Linked DNA regions of Struthio camelus. The protein of the gene in region 3 binds, or shares a complex with, the protein of the main gene of each other region. Links are inferred from orthologs where the notes say so. Each region holds a gene or a part of one and is shown on either strand. Other genes may lie near its edges.

Evidence for each region.
Region 1: EXOSC4 (region 3) and EXOSC9 share a complex: the UniProt entries of both Homo sapiens proteins name them as parts of the RNA exosome core complex. The link is inferred for Struthio camelus from reciprocal best matches to the Homo sapiens genes EXOSC4 and EXOSC9.
Region 2: EXOSC4 (region 3) and EXOSC1 share a complex: the UniProt entries of both Homo sapiens proteins name them as parts of the RNA exosome core complex. The link is inferred for Struthio camelus from reciprocal best matches to the Homo sapiens genes EXOSC4 and EXOSC1.
Region 4: EXOSC4 (region 3) and EXOSC7 share a complex: the UniProt entries of both Homo sapiens proteins name them as parts of the RNA exosome core complex. The link is inferred for Struthio camelus from reciprocal best matches to the Homo sapiens genes EXOSC4 and EXOSC7.

Annotation. Positions count from the first base shown.
Region 1 is NC_090945.1:19,634,107-19,641,632, forward strand, and holds the start of EXOSC9 (exosome complex component RRP45), read right to left. Parts: upstream 3,002-7,526; 5' UTR 2,919-3,001; coding exon 2,853-2,918; intron 2,693-2,852; exon of another isoform or gene 2,669-2,692; coding exon 2,574-2,668; exon of another isoform or gene 2,559-2,573; intron 1,869-2,558; coding exon 1,749-1,868; intron 1,636-1,748; coding exon 1,533-1,635; intron 1,298-1,532; coding exon 1,160-1,297; intron 652-1,159; coding exon 569-651; intron 236-568; coding exon 103-235; intron 1-102. UniProt on the Homo sapiens protein: Non-catalytic component of the RNA exosome complex which has 3'->5' exoribonuclease activity and participates in a multitude of cellular RNA processing and degradation events.
Region 2 is NC_090948.1:16,978,394-16,986,100, forward strand, and holds EXOSC1 (exosome complex component CSL4), read right to left. Parts: upstream 3,015-7,707; 5' UTR 2,959-3,014; coding exon 2,928-2,958; intron 2,684-2,927; coding exon 2,568-2,683; intron 2,376-2,567; coding exon 2,301-2,375; intron 1,932-2,300; coding exon 1,843-1,931; intron 1,577-1,842; coding exon 1,543-1,576; intron 1,348-1,542; coding exon 1,297-1,347; intron 1,199-1,296; coding exon 1,114-1,198; intron 698-1,113; coding exon 591-697; 3' UTR 346-590; downstream 1-345. Other genes in the region: palmitoyltransferase ZDHHC16, read left to right, coding at 5,473-5,594, 6,441-6,693, 6,915-7,109, 7,474-7,562. UniProt on the Homo sapiens protein: Non-catalytic component of the RNA exosome complex which has 3'->5' exoribonuclease activity and participates in a multitude of cellular RNA processing and degradation events.
Region 3 is NC_090943.1:173,041,263-173,047,943, forward strand, and holds EXOSC4 (exosome complex component RRP41), read right to left. Parts: upstream 2,807-6,681; 5' UTR 2,751-2,806; coding exon 2,580-2,750; intron 1,462-2,579; coding exon 1,255-1,461; intron 1,085-1,254; coding exon 725-1,084; 3' UTR 515-724; downstream 1-514. UniProt on the Homo sapiens protein: Non-catalytic component of the RNA exosome complex which has 3'->5' exoribonuclease activity and participates in a multitude of cellular RNA processing and degradation events.
Region 4 is NC_090943.1:50,965,425-50,972,900, reverse strand, and holds the start of EXOSC7 (exosome complex component RRP42), read left to right. Parts: upstream 1-4,472; 5' UTR 4,473-4,623; coding exon 4,624-4,680; intron 4,681-7,476. UniProt on the Homo sapiens protein: Non-catalytic component of the RNA exosome complex which has 3'->5' exoribonuclease activity and participates in a multitude of cellular RNA processing and degradation events.

The DNA.
Region 1 (7,526 bases), on a different chromosome or scaffold from region 3:
TGTTTTCCTAGATTCAAAATGTTAAGGACTTTTCAGTATCAACATGACAGTATAGGAAGTCGCTTACATTTGAGAGAAAGACTGGCTGAGGCAAAGATTTACCTGCTCTTTTAATAGCATAATCCCACCACTGGACTGGATGGTACAAATTTCACGATGTTTATTCATGGCAATTACAAGGAGGCCATCCATTACACGTTCTTCTCTTTCACTTGGATCCACCAATAAATAGGTCCTAAAATCAAGTTTTCGAATATAATGCAATACTAAAAGTTTAAGGCAAGCGAGTTACTATTCTCAAGAAAATCTAACCGGAGAATAGGTTTAAATGGAAATAATTATGATTATACCTCCCCACCTTCAACCCAAGAAAGTTTTCTACGTTGTCTGTGAAAGGTAGTGGTTACTTAAGCTTGTGCAGTACACCCAAGTATCTCAGTGACACCTCATTTCAGATAAAGTGTTTTAAGAAATCAGCCTATCAATACAAACATTGTTAAGACTCTTCTACATTTATTGTAGAATTGACAATAGGCTGCTTCTGTCAAAGACTTAACAAAAAGCTTACCCTTCTTGGAAGAAGGCAAAACTGACACAAATAGGCATGTGATGGATACTCAAAGGGACAGGATCACGCTCCTCAGGTGTGTACTTTAAAAAGAGTTGGCCAGAAGACAATTATTTACAAAACACGTATTTGATTTCAAAAGGATGTACTGTTCACACAAGATATTTAAAGGAATAAAAAGCAAAAAAAAAAAAAAAAAAGGCACATGAACTTTTAGTCATCTAAATATTAACAAAAATCTTTCTAACTATTCTTGTGTAATCCTTTCTGTTTATTACCTACACAGGTAAATGGAGCGCATTCTTCATTCTCATATTTGATCCAGTTGAAATACTGCTCATCAGTTAACACATTCTGTAAAATACTTATATTTTACAATTAATGTTCCCACAAAGCTGAAGTTGATAAAATTCAGTATTCAGCAGGCTCACTCACTATCCTCTCACATGTTCTGCAGCAATACATTTATCCTAAAGCAGTATGTATCTTGGAGTTCATCTATTTACATAAACATTTATTTTTGCTCTCTCAGACAGAGAGGAACAACTAACTGTGATCCCACAGCACTTACTATGGGCTGATATAACTTACCACAGTTACTTCCTCTCCTTGTACAGATACATCTGGTCTGCGAAAATGACACAAAGCTACAATTCCTGCTATGCTAGCAGCATCAATAATGTTCCCGTCATGATTTAACAGATGCAGGTCCACACGAATTTGCCAAACCTAAGAAAAAGTATACATAATAACTCAGTAATTTGTAACATGATTCCACAGAAGCTGTCATTTTTCAAAATGCTTTCAGCTTTTGAATCGTTAAAGGAAGCAAGGGATAGTCTTCAGTTCTTGGCTTAAGAAGTTAGGATGAAAAATCTTGGTAAACAAGGCAGTGACCACCTTAAAAGCAGACCATACGCATCCTCTAGTATAAAACCACCTGGAAATCGGTAGCTCTCCATACCTTTTCACCAGCAATAACGCAGAGAGATTCTGTATCTATACACTTGGAGTTTCTCAAGCATCGTTCTATTAGTCTGTTCAGTTTCACCAGTAATTCAGATTGCCTGTTAAAATAAAATCATCCCAGATCGTGTATGATTGCACTGCATATTTATATGTATCAAAACAGTGGCTCTTACGTTGCCCTGTTTTTAGTCTTTTTAAGAAAGCTACATACCTGCCAGGCTCAAAGGCAGGTGCAGCCATTGGTGAGAGCTCAAGGTTGAAGAAAAGTACGCCTTCTGCAGCCCGATTTGGCTTGGGGGGAACAAGTTCACATGAGACTTGTCCAAGAACCCTGCAGAGGGAAATAAACCCCCAGGCCATAGAATTTAGTAGGAAAAAAAACCCTACCACTAGAAACAAAATATATTCACTGAAGAAATGTGCATTTGGGCTTTTATTTTGCAGTACTGTCTTCTCCCAGTTTCTACCCTGTCATACATGTTTAAATGCTAGTCTCTAATTGAAAGGACTGAACGCAGACATTAAAACATTGTCCCAAACTTTAGGATTAAACCAGAATCAAACACATGAGAATTAAGAACTAAAAGTTTATTTAAGTGCATATGCTCCACTTTTCCCCATACATACAAGGGACATCTGATTTGTGGAAGACTGCAAAATGTATGAGGTCACTGAATAACAGTATGCAAAATTAAACAGTATCTATAATTGCTAAGTTTTTCTTAACCTACCAGCAACACGGAAATCCCATCCTTTCCCTCTCCTTTCCACTCCAAATTATCACATACGCTCTTACTCCTGAACTGCTACCGCTTTTAGGCTTCGGCCCTTAAAACCCCTTTATGGCGATTTCAGTGGGCTTCCAAACGCCTCTCATCCAATGCTGAGCGTTTCATCTGCTTCTGCCGGTTGGGAAAGTGTAACGTTTTAAAGTGAGAGCGCCAGCAGCGCCTGAGCCATCTTCACCGGGCAGCGAAGGCAAGCTCGGGCGGCTCGTTCCCGGCCGGACGAGTCCCCCCCCCTCCCCCCCGCCTACCTGGTCTTCCCCAGCTCCACGATGCAGCAGCCGTAGTCGGCGCCGAAGGAGATGCGCACGTTGCGGTAGTCATAGCTCTGCCGCCCGTCCAGGCGCTGCCAGAGAGAAACGCACACAAGGTTACGGCGCCATCCCCGGCGGGCGGGCGGGCGGGCAGGCGGGGGCAGAGGGCCAGGGGCCCGCCGCGGGCGGCGAGAGCCGGGCAGGCCGCCGCCGCCGCCACGGGCAGAGCAGGGAGGGAAGGAGAAGGAAGAGGAGGGAGGAAGGCCGGTGCGGCACCTTGCGCTCCTGGACAGCACGCAGCAAGAAGCGCCGCTCACAGTTGGACAACGGCGTCTCCCTCATGGCGGCCGGTGCGGGCCGCGCGCCGCTGCGTCATCACGGGGCGGCCGGTGGGCGCCGGGGCGCACGCGCGGCGGCGGCTGCGCGAGCCGCCCGCGGGGCGGGAAGCGCCGTAACGGCTCTAACGGCTCTCGCGGCTGAGGCGAAGCGCCCCTCGCACGAGGCTCTGCCGCCGGGCGGCGCCGGGAAAAGGCTCCAAGAGGGGAATTAGTCTTTACAGCCTCCTGCAAACACTCCTTCTAAGAGAAACCTGTTTATCTCCGTGGGCCAAGCCTGCTAATAAAGGTGGTTGATACGGTGACTGATCTCAGTATCATGTTCTGCACCTGTAAACTTGCCCTCTGGAGAATTTGCACATTAAGTTGATCTCTGTTGATCTGCGTTTTGATTGGTGTCACTAATGCTACTTTAAATCAGTGGAGGAGACTTTCTGATGCTTCCATAAGTCTTTGCTATGTTTTTAAGCTTTAACTCTGGTAAGAACCGAGATACAGAGACCTTTGCTAGTGAAATTTGTGTCGGAATGACCTGAAACGGTCATAAGGTAGTGAAACGTGTCGCAACGTAAATACATACAAAGTAGTGTTTGGTAGCTGAGAAAGTAAGTTTTAGCCATAGTTTGGCGATCTGCTCCCACAAGGGGTGACCCAGGTGGCCTCGGAAGGTGTTATTGTGGTGTCTATGAGTCTCGATGCATTTTTTAGTGACTAAAGGAATAAAGGCTATGGGGATGTGTGCAAAAGGCTCTGTTGTCTGGGAACTCATATGGAATTAAAAAAATCCATCTCTCATATTTTCATTGGTTAATACAGATGCAGTGCCCAGTCTTCAAGACAGGCAGAATACTAAAGAGAGGCCAAAGAAGAGCAGCCTGTAGAAAGCAGCTAAGCTGGCAGCGGTAGCAAGGTGAGTAGGACTGTAGACAAAAGTACAACAAAACTTTGAATTCATTTCCTGTTGTTCTGAAGCTTCTCCTGTAAGTGAAAACTCAAGGCCTTTACAAGTGGTTTTTACTTTTGGTTTGAGTTGAAATGAGAAAATCTGTTACTCGCACATATTCTCGCGTAGGAATGTTGAAATATCTTCATGATACTATATTTTTAAAGCTCGTTAACACACTTAACAAGTATTAAGAAGAGTTTAGTGCAAACTAACAAGTGAGTTGCATTCAGAAACTTGCGGTTTATGCCAAATGAGGACAAGCACTGTAAGACTACCTGCGCTGGTTTTATATTTTCAAGATATAATAAATGCTTATCATCAACGATATTTATTCTAAAAGAATACCAACAAGAGATTGTAATGGCCCTCTTGTTGTAGAGACAAAGATAAGCCAATAGTTTTCCTAAATGATACTACATGTTAAGCAACAATAAGGTGCAAAATGGTTTAATACTTGCATGCTTTAGTCTAGTCACAGATATATTAACATTTGGAGCAAGGTTTTCTCTCATCCACTGTCATCATGGTTGTTTTATTTTTCCCTTGGACTTTGAGGTGCAGATTTTACTTGGGTAGAGATTCTGATGGTTTTGCTTTTTTTCATTCTTTGTTTAAATTCAGTGATGGCATTCATTAGTGAAGACTTGGGGTTAAATTCTGGCCATTTTGAAATCACTGAGGAAAAACACTTCCACTGGGACCAAGCTCGCTCCTTATTAGCAGACTCAGCCCTTAGTTCTGCAGTGCTGTGGCTGATGCGACTTTTTACATGAAATGTAGAACTTGGGTACTAATCACTTGCCGTCACTTAAGATTTGATAAGAATGAAATTATTTTCTAAGAATTAATAGCAGAATAATTTTTGGTGAAACGTGTAAGTTGAATAACAAAAGTGGCAAGCTTCTGAGAGAGGTGGGATGTAGAGGTAGGCTTTGTATTTTGAATGGCTTTCTAGTTTAAACTATTTTTGCCAAGCATGCTAATACAAATCCTTTCCTAGAACACTGATGCATTTCTTTTGTCGCCTCGTGATCTGTATGTTGCATTCGTAGAAACTCAGTACAAATTTCAGACGCTTAGTTGCACTGAGGAGATTTTCTTTTCTGGCATATTCAAGTAAACCTGAGGTAAACACATAAATGACCTTCTCTGAATGTTTTTTCTTACATCTTTTATGTGCTATCATTTTGTATTTGTCAGTATACTTACTAGGAGTCCGTTCTCATCCACATAGTAAGTCATAGTATTTGCTGGAAGCCGGATTGTGGAATATTTGTCATTTTATAATTTAAAAAGAGATTAGAATCTTTTTACATCCCAGTGAATAGAATGTGTTTGGCGGTGCTTTTGAGTTACGTCTCTAACAAATAGGGTAATCGGAACAATGTTGTGTTACTCTTTTCTCGCTCTCTCTGTGTTTTTTAGTGTAGGAGTCTAATGGTAGCATTCCACAATATCATTATGATCACAAATGTGATCTTCCATTTGGCTAATCTTGGTTACAGGAAGTGAGAGGAAGGTGACTGGGCTCACCATCTTCAAAGAGAACTCTGGAGAACATGTTCCATTTGTAACATGTTCCATTTACTGTATTATTGGGAATTTACCTACAGTCATTGTAAATTCTCTCCGTAGTAGATTGGGTTAGCTCTGCCATTACTTATCTTACCAAACCTCAAGAAATCAGAGATTAGCTTGTCTGAAAAAAATCATTCAGCCTTGTGAGAATAATTTCTTTCCAGGAGTGGGATACGTGCATTACATTCAGTAAGGGGGATATATGAATATGCAACCAGTTCAGGTTATAGGGTTCCATGTTATGACACTTGAGACTGAACTGAAGTGATCTGAGGGTGTACATTCACTTTCAAACAAGGTAATTTGATGTTTTCCCCTACATTGGCACGACAGGTTTTTTTCCACAGAATTACTGAGGTTGAAAGGGACCTCTGGAGACTGTCTAGAGTCCAACCTGCCTTTTTCAAGCAGGGTTGGCTAGAGCAGGTTACCCAGGGCTGTGCCCAGTTGGGTTTTGAATATCTCCGAGGATGAAGACTGTGCAACTTCTCTGGGCAACCTGTTCCAGCGCTTGGCCGCTCTCACGTTAATTTTTTTTTTCTTATATTTAAATAGAATTTCCTACAATTCCATTTGTCCCCATTGCCTCTTGTCATGTCACTGGATACCACAGAAGAGTCTGGCTCTGTCCCCCCATCAGGTATTTATACACATTGATAAGATCCCCCTGAGCCTTCTAGAGGCTAAACAGTCCTAGCTCTCTCAGCCTCTCCTCATATGTCAGATGCTCCAGGGCCTTAATCATCTTTGTGGCCCTTCACTGGACTCACTGCAGTTTGTCCCTGTGTCTCTTGTACTGGGGAGCCCAGCACTGGCCCCAGCAGTCCAGGTATGTCTCACCAGGACTGAGTAGAGGGGAAGGATCACTTCCCTCAACCTACTGGCAACGGTCTGCCTAATGCAGCCCTAGCAGCTGTTGGCCTCCTTTGCTACAAGGACCCGTTGCTGCCTCACGTTCACCCTGTTGTCCGCCAGGACCCCCAGGTCTTTCTCTGCAGAGTTGCTTTCCGGCTGGTCGGCCCCCAGCCTGTACTGGTGCAGGGGTTTATTCCTCCCCAGGTGCAGGAGTGGGCATTTCCCTTTGCTGAACTTGATGAGGTTCCTCTCTGCCCATTGGTCTCAGGGGCCTGAGGTTCCTGGAGTCAAATCTTACCAGTAAAGAACAAGGTGAAAAAGGCATTAAGTACCTCAGTCTTTTCCATGTCATTTGCCACAAGGTCCCCACCGCATTCGGCAGCAGGCCCATGTCTTCCCTGGTTTTCCTTTTGCTGCTGAAGTCCTTGTGGAAGCTCATCTTGTTGCCCTTCACATCCCTTGCCAGATTCAATTCCAGATGGTTTTGACTTTCCTTACCCACCCCTGCACACTCGGACAGTGTTTCTGTATGCCTCCTAGGCCACCTGTCCCTGCTTCCACCTCTTGTAAGCTTACTTTTTATATTTGGATTTTGTCAGGGAATCCTTGTTCATGCACGTGCCGGGTCCTTGAGGACACTACCAGGCCCTGCTGGCCCTGCCCAGGACCCCATTTCGGCTCAGTCCCTGCCCCAGCAATGCCATAGCGGTGCTGGCCTCCAGCACTGTCACCGCCCTGCCCCTGCCTGGCCATGGCCCCCTTGATCTGGACCCTGACCTGCAGGCTGACAGCCTGGCCTGGCCTCTGCCCAGCCCTGTCACCACAGCTCGGCCTGGCCGTTGCTGGACCTGATCCTGACCCTGACCTGCGGTTTAACTTCCCAGCTTGCCCTTGGCCCTGCCTCCTCACCATGAACTTGCTGGATGATCTGGACTTGTGGTTGAAGCTGGCCACAATCTCTAGGTCTGCCCTGCTCCCTTGCTTGGGTGCTGTGGGGCCCTGACTGGCAAGGCCATACCCTGCCGGCCGTGTTACTGTGCTTGGCTTCCTACTCCCTGACACCATGCAGGCCTCCTGCTGCCCTTGCTTGAGTTCCTCCTCATCAGGGTGAACCGTTCTTGAGTTTGGAGCAGGTGACCCTTGAAAATCAGCCAGCCCACCTGGATCCCCATTGTCTCCAGGACCGTCTTTCATGGGATTCTCCCAAGCAGGTCAATGCAGAGGCGAAAGTCTGCT
Region 2 (7,707 bases), on a different chromosome or scaffold from region 3:
CTGTGCCCAGTTCTGGTTATCACCTCCTTGTTCTGTGCAGGAGGGGGGAAGCTAGGATACTCTCTGCACTTGCTACTGCTGTGGAGAGGCCCAAGAGGAGCCAAACTCTGCAGCGGAGAACAACAGCCAGAGCACCCTGCTGATAGTCTTTATTGCAACAAAGCTGCTAGGCACTCCCCTGCACCACTAGTGGCCTGGAAACAGGCATTTAGCTCCCTTGTGCCTGCACTGCTGTGGGAGGTCATCCCCTCCAGCAACTCCACTGCTGCTCTACAGGAGCCAGCCCAGCTGGCTAGGGGCAGCTGGAGCAATTCCTCTGGACAGTAACTGAGCAGAGCAGAAAGCTCTTGGAAAATATTTATTATGCACAGCACAAATATAAAATCCATCCTGGGAGGGAGGGCCTGGCTGGCTCTTCCAACCTCTGGCAGGTGCAGAGCTGAATGCAGGAGGCTCAAATCCAGTGGTTCCTTGGGCCACAGCAGCCCCTGGAGGGTGGTGGCTAGCAAGGCTCACTGCAGGCTCCAAGGGGCGCAAGCCAGCTGCTGCCAGCCAGCGACAAGCCATGCCCCATTGGGCTGGCAGGGCTGCTAGGTCTGCAGGAACTCGGGCTGCACGCGGGCCACCTTGCGGAAGTCCTTGGTGTGCGTCCGTGGGCACTGCATCTCGCACCAGCTGATAGGCACCATCTGCACCCCTAGGAAGCGTGGCAAGTCAGTGGCTGGTTTCTCAGCACCGCCATCCCTGTGCTGTGGTGCCTTACCTCCCTCCACACAGTGTCTGGGCTAGGCCCCTCTGACTGCCCCAGGGAGCCAAGGGGGCTGTGTGGGTTCGTGCCCAGAGGGCATAGCTCTGGCCTCCCAGCTTTAAGGCAACAAAACCCCTTTCTGCTCCCACTGCGTGACCACCCACCCATCTCTGCTAATAGCCACAGACCTTCACTTGTATTCCTTGTTTCCAACGGTCCAAATCCCTCCTCCCAAGGCCCTTGGGGCCCATGAGGTTCAGCAGCACAGGGGAGGAGGGTGCTTCTGCTCTCTGAGCTGCATCAGCTGCTCCTCACATGGGGCGAGGCAGAACTGGCCGAGCCTGGGCCCTGCTGCCTGTTCCTACCTGCTTCGCTGCGAGCCACCACCACACCCAGCTCGTTCTCCGCCGTGCTCAGCAGGTAGTTGGACTGTGCATCCCCCAGGGAGATCTGGTTAGAAACGGGTTAAGGGAAAGGCCTCCCTGAGGGGACTCGAGCGCAAACCCTCTCCCCCATGCGGGCCCTCCCGGTGCGAGGGCAAAGGATACGACTTTGGCCAGGACTATGTCACCAGGGCGGAAACTCTTGTAAACTTCTACCTGCATGGGAGAGAGGAGACACAAACACACAGTGTGTGGGGGAGCCTGTCAGTGGGGGCATGGCAGGGCAGCCATGGCAGCTGCCCCACAGCTGGGGCAGGACAAGTGCCACCCTGCCAACAGAAAGGAGTACAGGAGGCTGAGCACATGCCAGGGTTGCTGTGGTAGCCCAGAAACTGGCAGTGCCTCACTGACCTTGTCTTTCTCTGTGGCTCGAATATCTTCTCTCCTAGAAGAGGAGACAGAGGGATCTGAGCACCGGAGTGAGCAAACAGGACTCCCCACCCCGCTGCAGGAGTTTCCCCAGCCTCTGTCAATGCCCACCAGGGCTTGCTGGGCATCTTGCCGGCACTCGAGGCAGAGCTCCTGCCAAAGGCTTCGCCTGGCTGGCAGGGACCAGAGCCCAGGCAAAGCAGTGCAGAAAACCCTTCTGCTCATGTTGAGGACGGGCCATTTGGGCACTAGGCCTTGCTGGGAATCCAGCCCTTTCCCTACCGTATGGTTCCCCGGAACGTGGACTTCAGGGGTGTGGAGCCGATGTACAGGATGTGCACCTTGGCAAAGCGGGAGTTAATGCTGCAAACCTGCCAAGAGGAAGAGCTGGGAATCAGTGCCAATCCAAGCGTGGTCTGACCCCAGCACGCCTTCCCCAGACATCCATGCACCAGGACAGGTATAAGGCAAGGGTCCTGCTGCCCATGGCTGTACATGAGAAGGTAGTGTCCCAGGCCCCCCCAGCTCTGTGTACCCAAAGGAGCCGCAAAGGAGAAGGGATACCCAACAGCAAGCCAGCAGGAAAATGGCACTTGTACACCTGAAGAGTGCACCAGGCTCCACAAGCCGTGGGGCAACAAGGTTTGCCAGGTCTGCCACTGCAAGGCTGGCATCTCCCTCCTGCACCCAAAGGGCCCTCCTCCTCAGAGCACAGACCTGCACACACTCCAGTGCCCTACCTTGCATGTCACAACGGCCCCCACATCAGGCAGGAGCTGGGACTCAGCATCTCTCACCACAGACACAACAGGCAGCTGCACGGGAGCAGACGCGAGGGTTAGCTCAGGGCACGATGCACGGCTCACGCACATGGTCGTGCTGGACCATGCTCAGAGCACACACTGGCTGGACAGCCGGAGCCCAGCTGCCCAGGGCAGGCAGCGGGCTGGGAAGGGGCTGCACAGCCTCCTCTGGGGAAGGGCAGTGCGTGCCACAGCCATGCTCACCCCACTCTCCTCGCTCCTCTTCTCCAGGCAGCCAGCCAGCGACGCGAAGATGAAGCCGTGCCGCGTGTAAGTCCCACTGCCGGCGCTGGCTTCCCCGGTGCTGCACAGCCGCTCGCCTGCGGGACGCGCGCGCAGCCTGAGGCCGGCGCCGGCAGAGGCCGCCGGGGCTCGGGCCGTGCTGCCGCCGCCGCCGCCGCCAGGGCCCCTTCTGCAGGGCGGCCCTCTCCCCTATCCCCAGAGCCCCCCGGGCCTGCCTCCTCGCATGCCCCGGGGGGCTCCCCACCACCTCCTTCCCGGCCAGCCCTCCCCGAGCCGCCTAGGCCCCGCGGCGGAGCGGGCGGGCCGGAGCCTTGCACTCACCGGGGACGCAGTACCGAGCCGGAGGCGCCATGCTAACTACTCGCAGTGCACCCGCAGAAAGCCCTCACTCTATTGGCCCCCGGCAGCAAGACCCTGCCGTAAGCGGCGCTACTATTGGCTCGTGCCGGCCCTGCCCAGAGCGCTGGCGCGCTGCCCGCTGGGAGTTGTAGTCCGGCGCCCGCCGAGGGGGCGCTTCCCGGCAGGCCCCGCGCGGCCAGCGCGCAGGCGCAGTGTGCGGGGCGGCGGGAGCTGCCCGTGGGCAGAGGGCGGCGGGCCGCCGGGCATGGAGACGGCGGGCGGCGGGGCCGCAGGTTGCTGGCACGGGGGAGCGGGGCCCTATGGGCTGGGCTGGGCAGGGCATCACTGAGGGATGCCATGGGCCTGGAGGGGACCTGGGTGTCAATGGGGGATGCTGTTGCCTGGAGGGGGCTGGGTGCTGTGGGGCTGGGAGTGAATGGGGGGGGGGTTATGGGCCTGGAAGGGCTGGGTGATGTGGGGCTGGGAGTCGGTGTGAGGGTGCCACGGGCCTGGAGGGGGCTGGGTGCTGTGAGGCTGGGAGTGAATGGGGGGGTGCTATGGGCCTGGAAGGGCTGGGTGCTGTGGGGCTGGGAGTCGGTGTGAGGGCCATGGGCCTGGAGGGGGCTGGGTGCTGTGGGGCTGGGAGTCAGTGGGGGGATGCCATGGGCCTGGAGGGGGCTGGATGCTGTGGGGCTGAGAGTCAGTGGGGGGATGCCATGGGCCTGGAGGGACTGGGTACAGTAGGTAGGGGGTGCTGTGGGCCTGGGGAGTGAATAGGGGTATGTCATGGGCCTGGAGGGGCTGGGTGCTGTGGGGCTGAGGAGCCTAGGTGCTATGGGGCTGAGGGCTTTGTGCGGTTGGCATGGGCAGCCTTTGTGTTATGTTGCTGGGTGCTGAAGGAGGGTGACTCGGAGCTGGAGGCTGCGGGGCATGGGTGCTACTGGAATGGGGGAGCTGGAAGCCAGCAGAGGGTGCCACAGGGCTGGGCTCCGCTAAGCTGCAGCCCCGCAGGGTCTTGCAGGCCTCGCCATATACCTGGGGTAGGGCCTTCCCTAAAGCTCTCTCCTGCTTCTTGCTGTTTTGATGCCTGTGGTGTCCGGCTTGGCCATGCTGGAGGTTGCTGCTGCCCCTTCCCTGGCGGGGAGATGGCCGTGCTTGTGTGGCTCGGCTCCTCAGGGCCATGGGCATGGCAAGGGCTGGAGCTCTGGTGCCAGAGCGAGCCTGTGGTGATGCACGGCTCTGCTGGAGCCTCGTCGTTGCTGTCTGCAGGGGGGAGCCCCGGGGCAGAGGGTTCCTGCCCTGTCCCTAGGCAGCTCGGGCTGACTGCCTTCCGTGTGCCCCTCCAGCTCGGCAGCCACCATCTGTCAAAGGCGAGGCAATCTCTTTAATCAGAGCCTGGCAGTCTTGGGGGGAGCGGGCTTGGCAGGCATATATGCTGTGGGTTTGGAGAGGAGGGCCGGCCCCAAGACCTGCCCCGGCTGCAGCGTTTTACCCTTACTTAGACTAAAAAGATGGGGACAGATGCCACCCAAAGGCTATGCAGCTGAAAGTGCTAATCCACTTCTAATATGTTTCAGAGGAAAACTCTTGGCAGAGTCTAGAGAAAACGTAGGGTAGGGGGTGGCACTGGGGCTTGCTCATCCCACCCCCCCATTACCAGAGTGCAGGAGAAGTAGGAACCTGGGGAGGAGTCATGCTTATGGCCTGTGGCGGATTGCTGGGTCTGGTGGGTCTGACACCCTGATGTCCAGCTGCTCCAAGCCTTGGAGTCAGCCCTACACTCGTCTGGGCAGGGCAGGGCAGGGCAGGGCAGGGCAGAGGGGAGCCCCTGGCTCCTTTGGACAGCCCGTGTGGATGTTGCAGCTCCTGACCTTACCCTCTCTGCTGCTCCCCAGGGGCTGTCCCCTGCCAGTTCCTTCTGGTGTGGCAGCATGTTGGTGGCAGCAGGTATCGTGGCACAGGGAGCTGGTCCCCGCTGGACAGGCTCTGCTGCGGGTGGCACCTTCCTGCTCCCTCCAACTGGCGTGGGTCCCCCGCGGGTTGGGAACTGAGATGGCCTGGGCTCCGTGGTTTGGGCACAGGGCAGCGCTGGGCCCAGCAGCTCTGCTGTCCTGTGGGTCCCGTCATCACGCTGCTTTAGCCGCACTGGGGATGTGGCTGGGTGTTCCCAGTATTAGGGAGTGGAGGTGTTTGGAGGATGGGGGAGCAGCAGGCTGGAGCCAGGCGAATGCTGCTTTAGACCTGGCTCCGTTGCCTTGTGTGGCGAGTCCTGCCTGCCGAGGGGCAGCTCTGTGCCTGCCTCGCCTGGTGCCAGTGGGGAGCTGGAAACAGCAGCTGAGAGAGATTAGGGCAGTTTTTGGGGCCAGGGTGGCTGCGGAGCTGTCGTGAGTCGTGTGGGGGACAGGCTCCGTGGCAGCATGCGGCACTGCTGCCTGGCACTGTGCTGGGGCGAGTGCCTGGCCCAGGCTCGGAGAGTGCCTTCGCAGGACCCTGGGGTGGCCTCACTCCTGGTTAATATTGATGGGCCATGCCTGCACGGAGGCCTCGGGGCCCCGACCCAGCAGATCGTTTGCCTCGTTGCTGGGCCAGCTCGGGTTCCTCCTCGCTCCTAGCACGGCTCTCGGGTGGGATGAAGAGCTCAGCAGGCAGGTGAGCTCTTGGCTGTGAGGGTCTCTTTTCCTGCACAGCATCATGTCTGCCTGTAGCTTCCCAGGGTCAGACCAGCCTGTCCTTCACTGTCACGTGGGGTTATCTGAGGTGAAACCAGGCAAGGGGAAGAGGGGAAGCTGTGGGTCTCCTGGAGTGGGGCTGTGAGGTGGGGAACAGCTCCTGAGGCTTGGTCTGGAGGTTCGAGCAAAGCGAAGCAACGTCCAGGCCCTGCCCTCTGGGGGTAGCAAGGTAATCTTGGTGTGGGTCCTCTGTGCTTGTCTTCTGAGGACTCCCCCAGTCCTGAACTGGGCATGAGGGACTGGGCCTGGGATTGTCCCTTGTCTCTGAGCATCCTTGGTGAGCCCCTGCCCTGGAACTGGCCCAGCATCCTGAACACTTGCGCCTTCTCTGGTTTCCTCTGAGTCAGTCTCTCCGTCTCACTATCCTGGCCCCCTCTCCTCTGGGAAAGACGAGATGGGACTGGAGAGCGTCTACACCCAGCCGTGGAGGGCTGAGGGACCTGTGTCCCCTGCTGCAGCCCCACGGCCTCCAGGAGTGTGGGCTCAGCTCCTCCTACTCCTACTCTGCATCCTTGTGTGGGACATAGGAGAGGTCCTGGCTCTGCTGTGCATGCAGGTGTCTAGCAGGGTTGGTGCAGGGAGCTGGGGTGTCACTCAGGGCTCTGAGAGGGTGCAGGGAGCTGGGGTGTCACTCAGGGCTCTGAGAGTGGCACCAGCACTTCCAGGAGGGCAGAGCCTCTCCAGGGAGTCCCCAGCCCTTGCTGTGGGACGGCTGGGTGCCTGGGCAGTGCAGCGGCCTGCCCATGCTAAGCGTCTCTCCTCGCAGGTGCGGCACGGCAGGGATGAGGAGCCGGCAGCGGATGTTTGCGGCGGTGATGCGCCTGCTCCTCAAATGCCTGCGGCTGGGCCGGCGGCGGCGGTTTAAGCTGGTGCGGCAAGTGGAGCAGCTGTGGCACTACGGGCGCCTCTGCCTCCGTTCCTTGCTCTACAACTCCTTCACCAACAGCGACGTGGTGCTCGATTCCCTCTTTGAGCCTGTCTACTGGCTGGTGGACCACGTCACCCGTTGGTTCGGTGTGGTGAGTGTCCCCAATGGGGAGGGGTGCTCCTGGGGCAATTGAATCTTACCCCTGCAGGGACTGAACCGGCTGCCTGCACTGGGCTTGATGTGTGCTGTGCTTAGCTGGAGGGAGTGGGGGCTTTGGCTTGTGGTTCAACTCGTCTTCCCGTGCCTGAATCCTGCCTTGGTAGAATGGGGCAGGTGCTGCGTGCTCCCGTGACTCAGTTCCCTTTCCCATAGGTGTTTGTGGCACTGGTGATTGGGCTGACAAGCTCCATAGTGGCCATTGTGTACATCTGCCTGCTGCCCCTCATCCTGCAGACCTACACACCTGCCTGGATATGCTGGCACCTCGCCTACGGACACTGGAACCTCCTCATGATCGTCTTCCACTACTACATGGCCATCACCACCTCTCCTGGACACCCACCACAGGTGAGGCCAGGCCTGGGCACCAGTCAGCAGCCCAGCCTCTCCCGGGAGCAGGACCAGCACCAGCTGTAGGGGAAGCTCTGGGCTGCTCCCCAATTTGTGCTGCAGACGACTGCTGGGACCAGCCAGACCACCCTGGGGGCATCACTGCAGGAGCCCTCTTCCAGGATGGGGCGGCTGAGGCTGGGCAGTGCTGGGGCGGGGGAGTGATGGAGAGGTTGGTGGGGGGCAGGTAGTGGGCTGTCCCCAGTGCTGTTTAGGGCTCGCTCAGAGTCATAAGGGAGGTGAGGAGCATGGGAACAAAGTGCTGGAAGTAGGGGACAGGGCAGGGCTTGGGGGCACCAACCCTCTTCTGTCCTGTGTGCAGGCCAAGGACGATCTCACCGGCGTCTCCATCTGCAGGAAATGCATTGCTCCCAAGCCAGCTCGCACCCACCACTGCAGTATCTGCAACAGGTAGGGTCCCTCACCGTGCCCCACTGCCACCTGCACCAGGTAGTGCCCACAGCAGCCTGCTGTGCCCGTGCTGCTCAGGGCAGCTTCTGGGAGGCCTCTTCCCCCGCCACTGCCGCAGTACTGCAGGAGCTGGGCCCCTTCCCTT
Region 3 (6,681 bases):
CCTGACCAGGCCCTGCAAGGGGGAGCAACGGCCCCCCCCCCGGCCAAACCCTGCAAGGGGGAGTGCATGTGCAGCAGCCCCCTCCGGCCAGGCCCTGCAAGGGGGAGAGCAATGGCCCCCCCGGCCAGGCTGTGCAAGGGGGCAAGGGGGAAGCAACACCCCCCACCCCCCCGGCCAGGCCGTGCAGTGTTGGGGGTGGGTGCGAGCAACGGCTCGCAGAACCACACAGCCGTGCCGGGCCGTGGGGCTGCGGCGTTCCCGGGGATTGCCCCCCCAAGACGAGCGAGCGGCGGCCGAGCGCAGGGCCCTGCCGTGCCCAGGGCCGCTGGGCGTCCCTCCCCGAGGCCTCGGTCCGCAGACTGGCGGGACCCGGGCTCCCACGGTAGCAGGGAAGGGGAAACAGGCGCCGGCAGGGCCGGGCCGGGCCGGGCAGGCTCCGTCCGGGATGGCGGGACGCGGCCGAGGGAGGAGGGGTCCCCCGCCAGGGGCCTCGCAAGCATCGCCCCAGCGCCCTCGAGGGAAGAGACGCCGACCGCGGCCGAGCAGCCCTTTATTGAGGACGGACTCCGCAGGGCGGGACCTGCCGGCACCGGGCCGAGCCGCGGCCCGCGGACCCCGGCTCCACCGACACCGTCAGCAAAGCCGCCCGTGGCGGCGCTCCCGGCCGCGCCGCGCAGCCGGAGCGCGAGGGCGCCGAGGGGACGCGCGGCCGGGGCGGCCCGGTTCAGTCCCCCAGCAGCGCGGTGACCTCCTGCACGTGGTCCCGCACCACCTGGTCCAGGATGGCGTGCACGGCCTTGCAGGCCTTGCTGGCCGCCTCAATGACCTCCTCCAGGTGGTCCTCGTGCAGGCGCGAGTTCATCTCCAGCAGGGCAATCTGCTCCGACGTGGGCAGCAGGGCCAGGGCCACCTGCGGCCCCCCGGACGCCTCCTCTATGTAGCTGAGGTCGGCCAGCGGGGTGTCCTCCACGAAGCCGGCCGAGCTAGCGCACACGTAGTCCCGCATGGGGATGCCGGCGTCGATGACGGCCAGCGTTGCGGCGTTCACGCAGGCGCAGTAGTTGCCCCCGTCCGCCTGCAGGATCTGGGGGAGCGGCAGGGCAGGCTCAGCGCTGGAGCCAGCCCCCGGCACCCCTGGGGCCGAGGCCCGGAGCGAGCAGGGCACAGCCCGCCCCGCAGACGGACCGTCCCCTCCCCGTCCACCCCTGTCCCCCACCGAGGGGCTGTCCCTCCCCCGCCGGCCCCGGGGCTCGCCTGGACGTAGATGTCGATCTGGGAGCGGGGGTAGAGCTGCGTGAGGATGGCGGCCTCGAACGTCTGCTTGAGGTGCAGCGTCATCTCGCTGGACTTGCGGTCGCCGTGGGGCCGGCGCTTGCGCTCGCTGGTGCTGAAGGTGGCCATGCTGTACTGGCAGTTCACCAGCGCCCGGTCGTGCAGGGCCTTGCTGCGGGAGCCGCGCATCTGCAAAGGGGCCAGGGTGGGCTCCAGCCCCAGGGGGCCCAGACACCTGGGTCCCTTCTGGCTGGGGCGGGGCGGGGGGGGAACAGGGGATGCTTGGGACCGCGGGTAGGATGTGGGTGGGGGAAAGCAAGCTGCCTGGCTCCCTCTTGGGCCCGGAGGGGAGACAGGAGGGGACAGAGAGGACAAACCTGGCCACTTGGGCCTGCTGGCCCTAGGGGGACGGAGATGATGGAGGGGACAGAGGGCACAGCAGGAAGAGTCCACCTGCCTGGGCCTGCCGGTCCGGGGGGATGGAGGGGAAAGAGGGGATGGAGGGGACAGCGGGGACGGTCCACCTGCCTGGGCCTGCCGGGATGGAGGGGACAGAGGGGACAGTGGGGACGGTCCACCTGCCTGGGCCTGCCAGGATGGAGGGGACAGAGGGGACAGTGGGGACAGTCCACCTGCCTGGGCCTGCCGGTCCGGGGGGATGGAGGGGACAGCGGGGACAGTCCACCTGCCTGGGCCTGCCGGGATGGAGGGGACAGAGGGGACGGCGGGGATAGCAGGGACGGTCCACGGGGATGGAGGGGACAGAGGGGACAGCGGGGACGGTCCACCTGCCTGGGCCTGCCGGGATGGAGGGGACAGAGAGGACAGTGGGGACGGTCCACCTGCCTGGGCCTGCCGGTCCGGGGGGATGGAGGGGACAGAGGGGACAGTCCACCTGCCTGGGCCTGCCGGGATGGAGGGGACAGAGGGGACGGCGGGGATACCAGGGACGGTCCACGGGGATGGAGGGGACAGAGGGGACAGCAGGGACAGTCCACCTGCCTGGGCCTGCCGGGATGGAGAGGACAGAGGGGACAGTGGGGACGGTCCACCTGCCTGGGCCTGCCGGGATGGAGGGGACAGAGGGGACAGTCCACCTGCCTGGGCCTGCCGGGATGGAGGGGACAGCGGGGACGGTCCACCTGCCTGGGCCTGCCGGTCCGGGGGGATGGAGGGGACAGCGGGGACAGCGGGGACAGTCCACCCGCCCGGGCCTGCCGGGATGGAGGGGACAGAGGGGACGGCGGGGACACCCGGCCAGGGGTCGCGGCAGGCCCAGAGGGACGGCGGCCCGGGCGGGCGCTCACCTCGTGGGGGCCGTACACCACGGCCAGCGCCTTGGTGTTGCCCTGCTCGATGTAGGCCGAGCCGTCGGCCTGCGCGAAGACGCCCATGCGGGCGCGCACCTTGCGCAGCTCGGCGGCGCGGCGCCCGTCGGCCCGGTAGCCCTCGTCCGACAGCAGCTCCAGCGCCGCCATGCCGCTCCCGGCGGCCCCCGCGACCGCGCCCGCCCGGCGCGGACTTCCGCTCCCGGCGGCCCCCGCGCGCCCGCCCGGCGCGGACTACACCTCCCGGCGGCCCCCGCGCGGCCGCCCGGCCAGCAGCGCGCCGCCTCCGCCGCCAGAACTACAGCTCCCAGCGCGCACCGCGGCGCGGCCGCCGCTCCCGGCATGCCCCGCCCCCGCGTTGCCATGGCGGCGCGGCCTGGTCGGAGAGGGCGGCCGGCCCGGCCCGGCCCGGTTCCCCCCGCGGGGCGGCGCCGCGCCCGTCCCTGCGGCCCGCCCGGTGCCCGGTCTGCCCGGAGCCCCCGGCCGCCCCCGCCTCCTGCTAGTGCCGACCCTTGAGGCTTCTGGCCCTGGGGATTGCTCCCTTGGGGGTGGAGCGGGGCCATTTCTTCCTTTTTTTGGTGTTTTTTTGGTGTTTTTTCCCCCGGTTGCCTCATTTCTCCGTCGCTCCCCGCCCCGTGATCGCTCCGCTCGCGGGACGACGGTAGTGCGTGAGCCGCGCTGCGCTGCGGGAGCTCGTTGAGTAGAAATCAAACAAGCGCTTAATCCCTCTGCTACAGACCAGCCTAATCTCACAACTCGCTAATTCGCTACTTCGTGCGCTGACGAGCAGAACAGAGAGCGGGCCGACGGCGGGAGCGCTCGCCCCTCCTGCTCGGCCGACGGGGCCGTGCCTTCCGGCTCGGCCCTGCGCCCTGCACCTCTCGCTCGTTTCGGGCGCTCCGCCAAGATACGCTTACTTCCAAAGAGTTTCGGTCTTATCAGGTGTTAACAGGCGGTTACTTATAAAGCCGCCGCCGCCGGGAGAGCAGACCCGGCTCCTTACGTCCTTGAGCGCCTGGCGCCCGCGTTGCTCTCGGTGCGCCCCGCGGGCACCCGGCCTCGGCACGAGCCCCGCGTTCGTCCCAAAGCGGAGCAGGAGTCGCTCCCCCGGCTTGGGACAGACCAAAGGACTCGCAAACCCGCCGCCTCGGCGAGCGGAGGTGCTGTTACTCCTCACGCCTTGCTGGGGTCAGGCTAGGGGAAAGGTTTGAGCGCTTTCGCCTAAACGTAACTTCACGGTTTGTTACCAGGTACCAGCTGATCATACCTGCCTTCAACACGGTGAGGTGAGTGACAGACTCGGCTATACGAACATAACGACATAATAATAAAATGCAGAACAATACCATGATCGTAGGATGTAACGTAAGATGCAATCTGCCATCCCGTGGAAATGGTGCGCATCCCATGGAAATATGCTACCAGTGACGCCCAGCAGTTTGATTTCTGTTTCAGTCCTCACAATCCAGCCAGCATCATGTTTGATAGCAAGAGTCACCCCTTCTTTGATAAGCAGCAGCTCCCTCATGTTTGGTGATGAGAGTTTCCAGTTCTCAATCTGAGAACACGCCGAGTCCCATAGCGGTCCTACGGGTCCTGCCCCGTCGTAGGCCAGTACTCCGCCAGCATCGGTGTGAGGTCAGCTTTACGCTTTCCACAAAGTCGTTCACAGCTTTCCAGTGCCGTAACGTTGCATCGGCGATCTCGGGCAGGAGCGATGGTTCTATTCATTCATTTATTTATTTATTATTTATATTCCCATTATTGCATAGACCATCGCAGAGCAAAACCCGGTTTTCCCTTAAGTACAACAGTGCCGTCATCATACGCAGGAGTCTAAACAGCAGGTACCCGAGGAGGTTTTACTCGAACAAAGCTCTTGCGATACCGAACGTTCAGGGCGGTACAGGTCATGTTTTCCCCATTGTTCACATCCGCGAGTATCGATTAGATTACGTTTGTAGTCTATTTGCTTCCTTGAACTGGAGCCCATACACTCTTAGCTACGGTAACGGGCAGTGAGGTATATTGGTAAATTGGTCTTTCTTTGATTTCCTTACTCACAGTGCGGTAATAAATGGATCCAGACGTCTCAGCAGACATCTCTTGCTTCCTACCCCTGAGTATTCAGTTTTGGTAAATTGGTGTCTCCGGTCCTGACACCAGTACGGTGATGGGGTCCCTCACACAGCAGGATTTCCTCTGTGGCTCCAATTGGCTTATTGTTCGTGTTCATTTATAACGAAGGTTTGCGTGGTAACACAAGCAGTGGCATGGCTGGTGTTGGAGACGAAACAGGGAACGGTGGTACACGTCTCCTTCAAAATCTGTTGGAGCTTTTTCCAGGGACTTAGACCAATAGCCAGTGTTTTAGTGGTTGTGTCCGTTCCACTGACTGTATCCGTGGTCTGGCCAATTATAACTTGTTTGCTTAATTGTCCTAGTTTAGGCATTTTATTATTAACAATCTCTAAGTCCATGGAATTCAACACTCCTGTGCCCAATCCAGCAGCTCCCAAACCACTGGAAAGATCCTTAACTGTGCGAGTTTTCCAACAGGACTCATATCATTGCTCACATATGGGTATTGTCCATTGTGAGCGATTTAAATATACCTTACTAATATTAACAGTGTCTCATCAACTCTTAATGTAAAATTCCCGTACTTCAGGGGCGGCAAAAAAAAACGCTAATCTTTTGGGAACTTCTTGGGCAATTGCTATTGCTGCCCTCCGTGGCACACGAGCCGCGAGCTTGACCGGTAAGTGGCACACGTAACGAGTCCTAGCGGCTCTGTTCCCTGCAGGCCTTGCCACCCTTTGATGGCATTCTCTGATATTTTTGCATGGGTACAGTTGTGCAAGAGGGCAAATGTAATAGACCCTTCCTTCAGTAGTATCGTGGTCACACTGGGGACGTTGTCTCCCTCTATAATGTAGCCGTTTCTCCGGACCGAGTCCAGGTCCTTGGATAGGGACTACTAACAATTAAGTGGACGGTAAGGTTGGTCAGGTGGTTTTAACCTTCTTTTTTACTACTGCACTGGTGGGTTGTAGATATGTTGGGCCTCATACCCCATGTCACAGAAGAAGTCACCAGCATGTGTGTGTTTGCTGGATTATTGCAGAGTGCATCCACGTTTATGCGCTATATCCTGGATTTCCTAAAGTAAGGATCAGAACTGTCGGATACACGAGGGGTCCTCTTAGATATTAGTGACATCCTCTGTGGCGATGACACAGCAAAATCAAAGTTAATGGCACAGCAAGTAGCAAAACGGGATAATTCAGTAGCTGCAAGGCTAGGCCGTGGCTTCCCTTCTAGACGTCATCCCTACGCGACAGTTCACGTACTTGCTACGCAGACGCTTTCCGTCGTAGACAGGTTGAACGACGGTTCCCGTTCCTTTGTCCGGGAGGTCGGCAGCTCCTGGGGGGGAACAAGACGACATAGGTCTTGGCTCCCATCCCAGCCTCAGTAGTGACTCGTCTCACTCCCGTAGATCTACTTTCCCTTGAAAGCGCTGCAGAGTAGCCCCGCGTTTCCCAGCCACGGTGCTGAATTCTCACCTCTCTCCGGGATGCCTCGCTGAGGTGCTCAAGGCACCTAAGTTTTTCCCCTAAGTTTCTTCCCCAATTAGAGCCACTCTTACACCATCTGAGTTGTTGTTTAAACAACCCGTTCCATCTTTCTACTATACCATTACTCTGAGGTCGATAGGGTCAGTGGAAAGTCCACTTACCTCCATGCTTGAGACACCACTCTTGTGCTATTTTCTTTTTAAAATGTGACCAATTATCTTGCTGTATCTCTTGTGGCATCGGGCGTGTACTATAGCATTGGCTTAATCCTGTTGCAATCCCCAATCTGGATGGCGATGGTGTGTGTGTGGGGGTAAACATTACCCAAACCGCCCGACGCTTCAACTGCGGTCACAATAAATTTCCACCCCTTGGAGGTAGGTAGCCTGAGTCCGACACAGTCCACTCGCCCGGCGCTCCAAGGGACCTTTCCTTCCCCAAGGTTTACTTGCTGTTGACTTTTGTCAAGATAAGCCTTCATTACATCACAAAATCCTCAG
Region 4 (7,476 bases), about 120 Mb from region 3:
GTTTTTAAAAATTACTTTTGAGAAGTACTCCAGAAATATTCAGAAGTTGTTGTTTAACAACAGATTTACAATTAAAATACAACTCACTGTCCATTTCAACTAAAGCAGCCAGAGCATAGCATCCTAGTTTCAGCACAGCTTACTCCCAGCCTTGAAGTGCATCACTGTCCTCCGATCCCATTGCAAAGCCGCAGTGAAACCTCAGGTGACATGCAGAGCCACCTTTGAAGTCAGCACTTCTGTTTAGCTGTCTGGCTGCTCCCTTCGATACCGCACCAATAACCGCGTTTCATCGCTACAGCTCACTAGCGGATCGTAAGACCCCGATGAAACTGCTGAGGCCTCAGAATTTAAATTTCCTGCCGAAGAGACATTACGCAGCCCCGAACGCTAGCCTTTAGTAACGCAAGCACTGAAGCGGACCTAAACAACATACTGAAGCTAACGTTCTTTAAAACAAAACGCTGCAAGCCAGTGCAATGCAGACAGGAGCCCAGCGAGTGGGCACAGCGCAGGATTTCTCCTGAGCAAGGCGAGCGTGAAACCGCCCGACGCGTTCCCATCTCGCGACCGAGGCGAACGGCTCCAGTAAACAACCTCTCGGGACGCCACCCGCGCCGAGCCCTCGCCCCTGCCCCTGCCCCTGCCCCTGGCGCAGCGCGGGCACAGGGCGGCCCCCGGCTGGCCCTGCCGGCCTGCCCGGGCCCCACCGCGGCAACGGGCGGCCCCCCCCTCGGCGGCGGGGCCTCACACACGCCCCCCCACCAGCCCACACCCGCCCACGCGGGCGCGGCCCCCGCTGCCACTCCCCACCACCTACCCCACAGGCCGCCGCCGCCGCCGGTCCGGCGCGCGCCCCGCCGCCCCCACGCCGCGCGCGCCCGAGCGCACGCCGCCAACGCCGCGCGGGCCAACGCGCCCCCGGCGCGACGCCCCATCGGCCGCCAGGAGCCGGCGGCGCGCTGCCCCCCCCCCCCCCGACCCGGCGCGGCGCTGCCCTCCCCCGCCGCCCCTTACGCTGGCTCGGCGAGGAGGTGGGGCGGGCGGCCGGGAGGAACCAGGAAGTGAGCGGCGCCGCCCGGCAGGGCGCAGCCCCCTCCCCCCCGCCGGGCGCCCCGGCCCACGCGCGGGCCCCGGCCGCCGGGCTCGGCCCCTCCGCCCGCTGCTGGCCCGGGCGGGCGGCCCTGGGGAGGGAAAAATGCGGGGCTCGTGAGGAAAAAAACAGGTTTTAGCAAGGGGGGAAAAAAGACCGTCTATATAAGAAGTATGTTTGTTAGAAGGAAAAATACGTTTTTCAGAAGGAAAATGCAGGTCTTGGAAGACAAATACATTTTGTATACGGAATAAAAAATGGTTTGTGTAAGGAAAAAAACCCCACTTCTTGTATAATAAAAAAGTACTGAAAAATGAAGGGCACCAACGTACACAGCAGCCAGAACAAGGCTCCTGCTTCTGCCTTGCGCACCCTCCCACCAGCCTTGTGGGCTTGTAAGGCTTCAGGATAGGGGCTGCCCTCTGATCCCGCAATACCGGGCACGTCAGGAGTCATGCTGGACATACAAGAGTGGGGGTGCTAACGTTTCTTCGTCATATGCTTCTGTGCGATATCCACTGTCTGTATGCTGAAGGGTAAGCATGTATATACATGCATATGTATGTCACAACTGATGCACTTCCATGTTCACTCTTGAGCACAAGACAGATGGTTTGCAAATGTCCAAAACACTGAAACATCAAACAGGACAGAGCATATAACTGCAGGTGTAATCACTCCCAGGCACCTGCTTGTTATAGATAGGGCAGTTGTTAAGTTTGCTTGACACTCTCCATTTTAAGCCACTGTTTCCGATGTTTACAACTTCACCAAGCATTAATCATGCAGTGTGAATTTTTACATTCCAGGTGGTTCCCTCAGGCAGATTTAATTTTTCCATTTCAGCCAACACATGTCATCCATTTACCATAATGAGGTTAGAGAAAAAGACATTGCTTTGCCCTTGTTAACAAATCTGGCAGCCTTTTTCTCTGATATACCTTCGTTGTTGCTTTGCCTTGGATAAGGGTATTCAAGTGTACTAGGATGTGGCCTTCATGTCAAGCAGATGCCTTTTGCCATCCCTGAGAAAAACAAACCAGATACAGACTTACGCCTCTGGAAAATTGCTGTTCTCATGTGAACAAGGAAGATTTGCTAGCTAGGCATCTGAACTATGCAAGTATTTGACTCACTTTAGGCAGACTCCAAGCTGGGATGGCAGAGGGGAAGAAAAAGCAGTTTCCTTGCTACTGCAGTCAGCTGCTGTGGATGAAGCCAAGAGAAAGACAGAGCTAGGAGCCAGCATACAGTCTTCCCTGTGCTCCCAACAGAAAGCACAGGATGCATCTGCGTTAGCCCTTTAGTTCAGAACAGGAATTCACTTTTTGAAGGGACTCTCTCAATCACTTCCCCTTACTGTAGTGTGGTTTACACTGTCAAGTACTACAATGTAAGAAATGCACTGCTGGGTGACACAAAAGGTCCATCTGTGTTGGACAGCAGCATTAGCAGATGCTATTTAGGAAGAGCACGTGAGCCTGGCCCCTTTTCTTCAGGGTCATTCCCTTTCCCTCCTACTCCCCAGCCTCACAGCTGTTGGCAGGGACCAGCCCCAGGAGGAGGCCTGGCCCTGCTCATCTCCTCAGGGTCAGGGGGAGGGTGCTCAGGAACAGGGCAATGTACCCACAACACCGCCTACTGCCACAGGCCTACTGCTGCCTCTTTCCTCCCTGTCTTGCCCCCCTCCTGCTATTTTGCTAAAAATGAAAAGACTGGGTGCCTGCTCGCCATCCTGGAGGAGCTTGTGGCCCTGGGTCCAAGCAAGGAGAGGATGAGCCCCGACAGGCAGGCCCTGAGTAAAGCACAGAGGCAACCCTGGCGCTCCCTCCTCTCCCTGCTTCCCAAGAGCCCCTGCCCTGGGATGGCTGACTCACCCCCCTGTCCCTGTCTGCCAGGACCCAACTTCCTGGGCCAGCATCCATGGGGCCCTGGAGCCCCACAACCTTAGAGACTAATGAAGATCTTCCAGACGCAAGGCTGCCAGTGCCAAATTTGCCATGGTGCCCGGGGCCCCCTGACATGGGGCTCCCCCATCCCTCATGCCCCCGTCTTCCAACCCCCATGCATGCAGAGCAATGATGCACTACACCCACCCAGCAGCCTCCAAACTTCCCTGAGTGAGACCCCACTGCTGACCCTTTCTGCTCAAAAGTGATCAGTAATCCCAACTAAATAACCGTGGCATGCAGGAACGTGATTCTTTCTGGATGCAGATAAGCAATGGGAAGCATTCTAGAAATGTACCTACTATGCTAAATGAACGTTCAGCCCACTAAAGGGACCAGACCAGAGCTAATCCAAAGTAAAATTCCCAAAATGTGCTTCACTACAGGATAGCTGCCATTGCATGCTTCAGATTGCCTGCTGAAGTAGGCACAGCCAGAAACGCTTCGCACATCTGACTGACCAAGGAGTTTAGGGAAAGAGCACAGGAAACTTCTACAGAAGCTCTGGCTTTGTAGCGTGTCATGCAAGTCACTAGTCATCCTTGTAAGCCACGGGTCTTTTTTACCCAGCTATCTGTCAACATGAAGATATTGACAGATATGTCAATGTGAAGATATTTAATATTGCCAGATAGCAATATTAAAAATAATTCAAAAACTATACACAAGAGCTGTGCTAAGAACATGCAACTTACAACATTAACCACTTGTTGTTATGAAACACTCAATTAGGGCTGTCAAAACCCCTTAATTTAATTATTGGGTTAATATATAGTATGGGTTTTTAATTGCATTTCCCATACTACTTTCCCAGGGATATATGGCACAGAACCAAGAGCACTCTCCTAATGAGAACGCCTTGTTTTTTCCCCGCTCCTGCACCAACCTGCCCAGCATGCTGCAGCTCACGCAGACCCTTCTCCGAGGTAAAAAAACCTGTTTATTTTCTCATTCTTCTTAGGGTACTTATCACTGTGCAGGCCCTTCCCAAACGCTCGTGTATTTTCACAGCTTCTATGAGTAACTTTTACCTTGGCAAAGGGCAGGCAGAGAACGATGAACAACCCCCTTGGCCTATGACGAATTTGAGCTTCTCGGACGGGAAATTTTCCGGCGCACTGGCTGCTCAGCAGGCACCGTGTCCAGAGCAGTGCCCGCGACTGCCCAGGTGGGGCTGGAGCTCACTGCACCCCAACGAGACAGGCGCCTAAAGCCGGGAGAAACGCCCCCCATCGCCTGTCCCCCAGGAAAAGCTTCCGAGGAAAAAATAACGACTGCGCTCCCGACCTTGCCTGCAGGCAAGCGGGGCGAGGGGGAGGCAGGCGGGGCGGCGCAAAGTCCCCGCCATCAGGGGCGCGCACGGCCTGCCACGGGGCCACGACGGCGGCCCAGCCGCCCCAACGGCCGGGGCGCGCGCCGAAGGCAGTGCGCAGGCGCGGCGCCCGCCTCCCCGCTCCGACGGCGGCCGCGCTCCCCGGCGTCACGTGGGAGCGGAGCGGAGCGGCGCGCGCGCTCCCTCGCTTCCGCCCGCAACGGCCGCGGCGGAAGCGGAAGCGCGCGGCGTCCGCGGCGGCGGGAGCGATGGCGTCGGTGGTGCTGAGCGAGGCGGAGAAGCTGTACATCGTGCACGGCGTTCAGGTAGCGGCGGCGGGGAGGGTGGCCGGTGGTAGCGCTGCCCGGTGAGGGGCGAGGGCAGGACCGTCCGTCCCCCCCCACTCCAGGCCTGGTCTGCGTGAGCGGGCGTGCGGGGCGCTCCGGGACAGCGGCAGGCTGTAGGTGTCCTGCCTTGTTTCTCCCTTCCCTTTTTCTCCGGGGGGTGGTTTGTTTATGCTGGGAAAGAAAGCCTGGGTAGAGATGGGGCTACGTTGTCGAGGGGCTTTTTATTGTTATGACTTATGTGTGATAGTCTGCTTAAGGAAACTGTGCAGGTGTTACTGAAAATACAAATTTTCAGCAGAGTGTACTGCAGTAATCATCCTGACAGGTGTGCTCACTGTGGAATGCAAGCTGGGGAATGCTTATTATGCATGAAAGCCTCACTAGTATAATCTGATGTTTCAGGCTCTTTATTGTTTACTTCTGTGATATCAACAATGTTTTCAGCCCTGTAGCTCACTAATCATTTGTGGGGAAATGAGTTACAGTGTAGATTTTGTGGGTGGGGGGAAGCTTTCCATTATCTTGGGTCTAGGAGAGAAAGCTCTGGGATAATCACCCATTTGTGTCACTCTACCAGAGCTGTCACTAAACATACGGAGAGCAGACCATCAGAGCAGGGAGAAGATTGGCAGCAGGACATGGTTGTCTGGCAAAACTCAAAAAGAAGAAGGAAGTGTACAGAATGTGGAAAAGGGGACAGGCCACTTGGGAGGAATACAGGGACGTTGTCAGAGTGTGCAGGGATGCGACAAGGAAGGCTAAGGCCCAGTTGGAATTAAATCTGGCAAGGGATGTCAAGGACAACAAGAAGGGCTTCTTCAAATACATCAATAGCAAAAGGAAGACTAGGGAAAACATGGGCCCGCTGCTGAATGGGGCGGGTGCCCTGGTGACGAAGGATACAGAGAAGGCAGAGTTGCTGAATGCCTTCTTTGCTTCAGTCTTCACTGCTAAGGCCAGTCCTCGGGAATTCCAGACCCTGGGGACAAGAGAGGAAGGCTGGAGAAAGGAAGACTCTCCCTTGGTTGAGGAGAATCGGGTTAGAGATCTTTTGTCCAAACTTGACATCCATAAATCCATGGATCCCGATGGGATACGTCCACGAGTGCTGAGGGAGCTGGCGGATGTTATCGCTAGGCCACTCTCCATCCTCTTGGAAAGGTCCTGGAGATCAGGAGAGGTGCCTGAGGACTGGAAGAAAGCCAATGTCACGCCAGTCTTCAAAAAGGGCAAGAAGGAGGACCCAGGGAACTACAGATGAGTCAGCCTCACCTCCATCCCTGGAAAGGTGATGGAACAGCTCATCCTGGAGGTCCTCACTAAGCATGTGGAGGACAGGAAGGTGATCAGGGGTAGTCAGCATGGATTCACCCAAGGGAAATCATGCTTGACCAATCTGATAGCCTTCTATGACGGAATGACTGGCTGGGTAGATGAGGGCAGAGCAGTGGATGTTGTCTCCCTGGACTTGAGCAAGGCTTTTGACACTGTCTCCCATCACATCCTCCTAGGTAAGCTCAGGAAGTGTGGGCGAGATGAGTGGACAGTGAGGTGGATTGAGAACTGGCTGGATGGCCGAGCTCAGAGGGTTGTGGTGAATGGCGCAGAGTCAAGTTGGAGGCCTGTGGCTAGTGGTGTCCCCCAGGGGTCAGTCCTGGGTCCAGTCTTGTTCAATGTATTCCTCAATGACCTGGAGGAAGGGACAGAGTGCACCCTCAGCAAGTTTGCTGATGATACTAAACTGGGAGGAGAGGCTAACACACCAGAGGGCTGTGTTGCCATTCAGAGGGACCTGGACAGGCTGGAGAGGTGGGCAGAGAGGAACCTCATGAAGTTCAACAAAGGCAAGTGCAAGGTCCTGCACCTGGGGAGGAATAACCCCATGCACCAGGACAGGCTGGGGGCTGACCCTGCTGGAAAGTAGCTCTGCCGAGAAGGACCTGGGGGTCCTGGTGGACAACAAGTTGACCATGAGCCAGCAGTGTGCCCTTGTGGCCAAGAAGGCCAACGGTATGCTGGGGTGCATTAGGCAGAGCGTTGCCAGCAGGTCGAGGGAGGTGATCCTGCCCCTCTCCTCAGCCCTGGGGAGGCCCCACCTGGAGAACTGTGTCCAGTTCTGGGCTGCTCAGTACAAGAGAGACATGGAGCTACTGGAGGGAGTCCAACAAAGGGCTACAAAGATGATGAGGGGTCTGGGGCATCTCTCCTCTGAAGAAAGGCTGAGAGAGCTGGGCCTGTTCAGCCTGGAGAAGAGAAGACTGAGAGGTGATCTGATCAATGTGTACAAGTATCTGAAGGGAGAGTGTCAAGAGGATGGGGCCAGTCTCTTCTCCGTGGTGCCCAGCGATAGGACAAGAGGCAACGGGCACAGACTGAAACACAGGAAGGTCCATCTGGACATGAGGAAAAACTTCTTGACTGGGAGGGTGACAGAGCGCTGGACCTGGTTGCCCAGAGAGGCTGTGGAGTCTCCTTCCCTGGAGATATTCAAAACCCGCCTGGACACAATCCTGGGCAATGTGCTCTAGAGGACCCTGCTTGAGCAGGGGGGTTGGACTAGATGATCTCCAGAAGTTCCTTCCAACCTCAACCATTCTGTGATTCTGTGGTTCTGTACTTTTTTTCTCGTCCTCTCCCCCCTCTTCCCTTGCTCTTTCCCAAGTTTTTGCAGTCGTATAGCGCTTTAGCCTGTTACTAAGCTGGAGAGTAGTGCGTGGAGCAGGGAGGAAGAGTGAAAGACACGTGGGGAGAAGTGCCAAGAGAAAAAGGATTATA